2 linked regions of the Tribolium castaneum genome follow. Each later gene encodes a partner of the first gene's protein in a complex. Links are inferred from orthologs where the notes say so. Each region holds a gene or a part of one and is shown on either strand. Other genes may lie near its edges.

What was found. The genes of interacting proteins can lie anywhere in the genome.
Region 2: lobo (region 1) and dynein regulatory complex protein 8 share a complex: the UniProt entries of both Homo sapiens proteins name them as parts of the nexin-dynein regulatory complex. The link is inferred for Tribolium castaneum from reciprocal best matches to the Homo sapiens genes DRC7 and DRC8.

What each region holds. Positions count from the first base shown.
Region 1 is NC_087396.1:17,962,927-17,967,233, reverse strand, and holds the start of lobo (dynein regulatory complex subunit 7), read right to left. Parts: upstream 2,802-4,307; 5' UTR 2,780-2,801; coding exon 2,393-2,779; intron 2,329-2,392; coding exon 2,203-2,328; intron 1,403-2,202; exon of another isoform or gene 1-1,402. Other genes in the region: Atg2 (autophagy-related protein 2 homolog B), read right to left, coding at 3,263-3,508, 3,565-3,708, 3,757-3,911. UniProt on the Homo sapiens protein: Component of the nexin-dynein regulatory complex (N-DRC) a key regulator of ciliary/flagellar motility which maintains the alignment and integrity of the distal axoneme and regulates microtubule sliding in motile axonemes.
Region 2 is NC_087394.1:7,333,152-7,335,857, reverse strand, and holds dynein regulatory complex protein 8, read right to left. Parts: upstream 1,427-2,706; 5' UTR 1,292-1,426; coding exon 1,261-1,291; intron 1,211-1,260; coding exon 973-1,210; intron 927-972; coding exon 716-926; intron 667-715; coding exon 532-666; 3' UTR 510-531; downstream 1-509. Other genes in the region: delta(3,5)-Delta(2,4)-dienoyl-CoA isomerase, mitochondrial, read left to right, coding at 378-476. UniProt on the Homo sapiens protein: Component of the nexin-dynein regulatory complex (N-DRC), a key regulator of ciliary/flagellar motility which maintains the alignment and integrity of the distal axoneme and regulates microtubule sliding in motile axonemes.

The sequences.
Region 1 (4,307 bases):
TTGCGAGTTGTGTCGAACTTTGAATTTAATGGTTGTCCACTAGTGCGACACTCACTGTGGACGTTTGTGAGTTTAAATTAACGACATTATTATTTGAAGAGGATTGGCTTTGTTTTTTCTGATTATTATATTCGCGTTTCCTACATTCTTCGATTAAGTGACCGTTCTTTTTGCAGTAACGGCAAAATTTTGAATTGGAGTTACTATTAAAATTTGATTTTGTTTTATGATTTTTAGATACACTATGATTAGGTGAATGACTTTGATCTACATTTCTTTTTCGACATTCTTTTGACAAATGACCTTTGACTTTACAATAGGAACAAAATTTATTATTAACAGAAAAATCTGATGAATTATATTTACGAGCATTTAAAAATCTTTCCTCGTCAAGGGCTTCAGCTAACGCATCGTTTAAGTTTTGTGGTTTAGATCGTCTCAAAGCATTTGATATTTCTTCGTTAGCATGTAAAATGAATCTTTGTAGAGCGATTTCGTTAATCATTGCTGTTCGGCCGCATGATTCTTTTTCGTCTTGAAAAGATATTTTATTAAAAGCTAAGGTTTGCAAATTTTCTATTCGCGAAAAGTAAGATTGAACGCTTTCATTCCTATGTTGTCGAATCGAACTTAATTCTTCTAGTATTTGTGAAAAATCGCGTCTGTCTCCAAATAATTTTAGTAGGCAATCACGAAATTCTTTAAAAGAATAAAATTTGTGAAATCGGGTTTGTGCTCTAGCAGCACCTTTTAGTTTAGATTCCATATACGAGATTATTAAAATTTTTTGGTCTCCGCGACATAACGCCCACGCTTGACCGCAATTTTGGAGAAAATCGTAAAGTTTGCTTCTGTCCCCGTCAAAATCGTTAGAAATGATTGACCGGATATCAGACATGTTATGAATTGGCGTATCATTGGTGTTTGAGTTTTCCTTATTATCATTATTATTGTTAGAGTTATGATTTCGATTAGGAATAGGGTTTTGAATTTGCGATGTTGTTATGATTGTTGTGGAGGTTGTAGGTGTAGTGGTAGCGATAGTAGTCATTATTATTTTTTTTGCGTGTGAACGAAGAAACATGCAACAGGATAAACGTACTACTAGATTTAAAAATAGCTTTAGAAAAAGATTGTCCACTTACGTTCAAAGCTGTGGGATACTCGATGAAAATTTCTCGACCCTTTTCTTTGACTTCTTGAAGATTAATTTCAATTGTGGCAATTGGGGGAAAACGGGTTCGATTTTTGATGTCGACCCAATTTTCTTTCTTCTTTGTCACAATCTTCGCATCCTACTGACTGCGCCAATTTGTTGAGTGCCTTCTTTGAAGATGAGTAGTAAATGGACAATATTTCTTGAATATGTTTATTAAAACTAACACTACACTAGAACATGAAGAGATTGAGATTCAGATTCATATTTTTATTCTAATTGCCTGTATATATATACTTTGTTATCAGTCTTGATATCAACAAGGTTTGGGGATGCATGAGTCAGCATGACTTAGTCATTTTGGATCATAACACAAGCAAAGCGTAGTTCCAACTCAATGGTAGTTCCCATTAAAATCTTTTTCCTTATTTGACGTTGTGAGTCAGTTACAAAATGTAAGTTTTTTTTTAAACATGAATTATATCTTATAACTAATAACCTACGAGTATAACTACATATAACCATGTAACCAGCTCAGTTCTCGCCCCATTTTGCATAAAAAGCCTTTCTTTTCTTATTTATACATTGTGATTTAAAAAGACGGTACAATCACTCGGTGGTTTTTTTGAATCTTGGAATGGTAGAGGGAATTGTAACAAAATTAACTCAAGATTAAAAAAATCTTATGTATAAGTAAACGAATTAGGATCGCTTGAAAAACTCATTTGCAACACGTAATAACTTCACTCACTAAAAAATAAATTCGTGAAAAAATTAAATTTTAGTTTCACTTGCGTAGATCTTTGTAGAATGTGTACAGAGAATGACAGCAATTATTTAATTTATAAAAAAAATTCAAAAAATGAATTAAACAAAGAATATGTTATGAATATGTAGCTATGTAGCGATTACGAAAGTACTAATAAGTTTTTTTTCTGTATATCATATCAATATTTTTAACTCTTTAGTTAAAAACTAAGAGTAGTATACAATCATTGTTTTTTCTTTGTTTTGTGATTTTGTAAATAAACATGTTTTTTACTTACAATCAAGGTGGGAATCTCGAACGGCTCGAACCGCAGCGCATTTCCCACAAATTTCGCGCAGTCCTGCCAGGTTTCAATTTCCGGATAGGGAAGCGTTGTGAGCCGAATCGTATTGCACACCATTTTCTGAAAAATTCAACCGCACCCCATCTATCCCTTTGCGGTGGAAGCGCGGCAGCTCTCTGCTTACCTGCATTCCGCATTCGTTGTTACTGGCCAGAAATAATTGCTTCCTGTGAGGATACTTGTAGCTGAATTGCCTCCTGAAATTTTCCGTGTAGAGCAAAAGCAACTTCTCCTTATTGGAATTGGCTAAGTAGCTTTCCGGGAAGTTCACCCGATTCTCAAATTCCGGATGTTCGATTTCGGGCCAACAAAGTTTTATCAAACCCAGCTCGTTCGCTATGTGCGAGAGGTCTTTCAGAGTTAATTCGACCGGTGGTAATAGCTCTCGCGGAGCGTCCAAGATCTCGATGTAATGGTATTTGATCTCCTCTTCTTCCACTTCTTCGCCTTCGCCATCGTCGAACTGGTAACCGTTCAAATAATCCGGAAAGAAGTCCAAATCTGACTCCATTTTTGACAACAATTGAACGCGTTACTATGACGATAGTGTCACTTTTTTGAGGGATAACCAATAAAACGCGTTTTGCGAAGTATAAAAATTTATTCATATTGCATACATGAAAAATTGTTTAATTACAATAATCCTATCACAAAATGGTAATTCGCGGTCCATTTCTGCATCCAAACACACACAACATACAAATAAATAATCGGTACAAACGAAATCATTTGTTGTGGTTGTACAGATTATTAGAATATCACGTGAGAACGAACAGCGCAATTTTGCTCAACTTACGAAAATATATTGTCCCGTTTTTATCATTCAGTATCAGCTCAGGTAAACTCATCCAAAATGGCGTAATATGGACACTGAATATTTGATTAATAACAAGACTACGTAAAAACAACAACTCAATTCACAACAACTCAATTCAACCTTAAACGAAATTATCTATATTGTTAATTTAAAATCACAAACAACAGTCTTTTGTTATCACTCGTATGAATCGTAGGTATCTTCGTTACGCCATTTTTCATTGGCTTCCTTTCTTGCGTCTGGTACCAACTGGCAGCGCATACCACCCAGCACATTGTTGGTAGCTTCAGAAGCTATGATAATTGGTTTAATTATAGTTGGGGGTATTTGGCGTATAACACCCCCGACAGCACCACTGTAACCTTTTTGTTCATGTTCGTGTGAAGCCACTTGTAGTATATTATCGGCAGTTTCCTCAATTCCCTGAAACAATAACCATCACGTAGAATTTTTTTTACAAAAATTCACAACTGTCCTACTTCTTTAACTAGCTTGTACGCATTGGTCACCCCTTCTCTGATGTCCTTGGGTTGGCTGTATCGTTTACGGCGCACTTTTGTCTTTGGATTAATTTTTACGCTCGGCCCTGGGGTCAACATATCAAAGGCAGTTTCAGCCGTAATCTAAAAAAATAACAATATAGAAAATGAACCGAAACGGTTTTAACTCACTTGAATCAGTTGAATAAGCCGCGTTGTGAGCTCTAAAGCTGCTATTGCCGTCGAAGTCGTAAAACTATTAGCACCGCGATGAAGGCCTCTGAAGAAGCGACCATCTTTCTTGTATTGCTCGAACGGCAAGCAAAACAAATCTCTGATTCCCTGAACTGTAACAAGTTTGATTAGCCTATACTACTAAAACTAAATAGTAAGTAGGTTTTAGGAAGGACACGGAACGAGATAAATACAAAATCGCTCAATTTTCTGGCGCCAAAAAATATAAAACGGGAGAGTAAAAACAAGGGCGCTTCAAGTGTTAGACAGTCTCGGGCCCATATGGTTTTAAATTAATTTTATTAATTAGTAAATTACGTAAGTATGCAAAATTTCAATTCATTCAGACAACAGGAACTCTCAAATGTGACTTGCAAAAAAAGAAACAGACAGAAAGACAACAAAGCAAGTCAAATAAAAGCTTTTAATTAATAATTTGGGCTCGGTCCCATATTTTTTAATATGAATATCTTCAAGGTATGAACAGTGTAGGAGAAAAAAAAACCTCT
Region 2 (2,706 bases), on another chromosome or scaffold:
TACGCCAATGCACACGCTGTAGCGGACCATTTCATCGATAAATATGAACATCGCGAGAGCGCTACGACGAGTCGGCTGATCGGTTGTGGCCTCATGGCCACCCCCTAAAATTTCCTCACACTGGTAATTACTTACCGGCCTTTAAAAGTTATACCTACCGTATTTTCGAACAGAAGGAGTAACTATTTATCAGTAACAACACAGAAATATTTCTTTATTCTTTATTAATGTTCACTGAAACCACCTAATAAAAGGAAACTTGCCTTAATTAAATAACAAGAAGATAAATTAAGCTTATTTTTCAATGGCGCCCCCATTAGTGCTTGTTTCTTAATCCAGCTGCAAAAAATAATAAATTAATAACACATTACTTACAGGCCTTATGGAATCAGCTAATGCTTCAAAGTGAAGACTTCACAACAGCAACAGTAGCCCAAGCTACCAAACAGAAAGATACAGTTTTCGCAAAATTGTAAATTAAGCAAGAAGATTAAATAATAAACAAGGTGGAAGTTTGGAGTGTTTTATAATTTAAAATTCAGGAACGGACAAATCATGCAGGAACTCGGACAGCCTTCGAGGTGGAGGAGGAGGAGGTGGAGGTGGATTTTCCTCAAGAACACGATCAGCTAACTTATAGATATCTTTCTCTCCTTCAGGTTCGTGCTATTAAAAATAACGTAGTGCAATATTTGCAAAAATAAAAATTAGGTACCATTAGCTGATTGATGTAATATTCATAAGGCACAGTTTGAGTGTGTGGGTCTATGGCTATTTCCAGCATTTCGTCGAGTTCGTCTTGGGTAAAGGGCTCACCATCTTGCGTCATAAGCGTGGAAATGCGTTCCTTTGTTAAAAAACCTTTACCTTCATTATCTAGCACTTGGAACGCTTCTAAAAGTTGCGCGGGACTTGCAGGCTGATACCTGCGAATGAAAATTTCGTTTTTTGGCGATTAAATTTTGGTGATACTTGTGTTCAGTGATGATTTGCGACATGTGGGGTAAAAAATTAGACAAGTGTACACTTCCGGGAGATTCGGGGTTTTCAACAGCCATCAAAATTTCCTGAATTTCTGCCTCAGTGGGGCAACAACCCAAGGCACGTACGATCGTTGCCACTTCTCGAACATCGACTGTTTTGTTACCTGCGTGGTCGAAAACTTCAAACGCGTCGGCAATTCTGCGCTCCAAGTCATTATTAATAGGCACTAAAAAAACGTGTTGGTTTTTTGGAAAAAGACGAGTTTTTGACAAAAACCATGAATTTCTTCTTCTTCGTCTTCCAACATTTTAACAATTTTGATAATCGTTAAGGTTTAAACAGTTGACGGTCTCCTAGCGACAGTTTTGGTTGCTAGGTGATTTGAAGTGTTGGCAGTTGTACCACTTGCATATTTTTTTGGTAAAAATCACCAATAATAATAATTACTCTTAATTAAAAATAACATTAAAAAGTAAAAATGCCATATTTATGTTGCACAAATTACGAATGACAAAAAACAGTGTAAATAAAATAAATACACAAATATTATTCAAATTCTCTTTACCAGGTGATTATTCAAAAATTGCGATTCTTGTCAGGTTGGTGACAAATTTGAAATCTTAATATAACAAGCCACCATGAAGGCCAATAATTCAGTGTTACTAATAGGTTTTTTTGTCACAGTCTTTAATAGTCACTCTGTAGTAGATTCTACTTTGCAGTTTTTCAAGATTTTCCTTTAGTTTCGTTTAAATTTCTTCCAGATTATTCTTTAGCTTTCTGTACTCTTCTTTAGATTATTTTATAAATCCATCTTCTCTAGATTCTTCTTTCAAATCCAAAATTGTTTTATTAACACTTTTACATTTTTTTGACATTATCCAAATTTAAGATTCTTGTCTGCGTCGTTTAAAATTCTTCCAAATTATTTTTTAGTCTGTATTATTATTTTATTTATGTACTTTTTTTTACATTGTTCATAATATTCTTCTAAATTTTTTTGTAGAGGAGACTCTAGGTATCTGTAGATACGTCTTTAGAATTATTTTCTAGACTCTAATCAAAATTATTTTATACACTTTTTTTCAAATATTTTTATCCAAATTTTCTTCTAGATTCTACTCTGTATCTTTCCAAAATTCTTCTACAGTTTCGTATAGAATTTTTCTCTTGAAATAATCTTATTAGGTTATAATCTTCTTTAGGTTACATCTTTAGATTCGGTTATAAATTCTTCTGTAGTTTCCTTTACAATTTTTCCAAATAATTTTTATTAATTCTGTAGTCTTCTCTGGATTTTTTTTTCATATACTTTTCTAATTCTTTTCTTTTCTTTTTTTCCTAAATAAGCCTAATTCTAGATCTGAAATATAGATTCTTCTTTCGATTATTGTATAAATTCACGAATTTTTCACGTTTTTTAAGACAATTATTAGGTCTGCTTTGTTTGAAAATTCCTTTGTACTTTCGTTTCGAATTTTTCTAAATTATTTTTTGGCATTATTTGTTTGTCTACTCTTTTTTAGATTGTTTTTAAAATAAGTCTCAAATATTTTAAAAAATCGTTTCTAAACCTAAAATTGGAACTTTTTAAATTATTTTATAAATCCATCTCCATATACTTCTTTAGAAATTATTTTCTATACTACTCAAAATTATTTTATAAACTCTTTTAATTTTTTTTATCCAAAACCTCTCCTAGATTGCACTCTGCATCTTTTC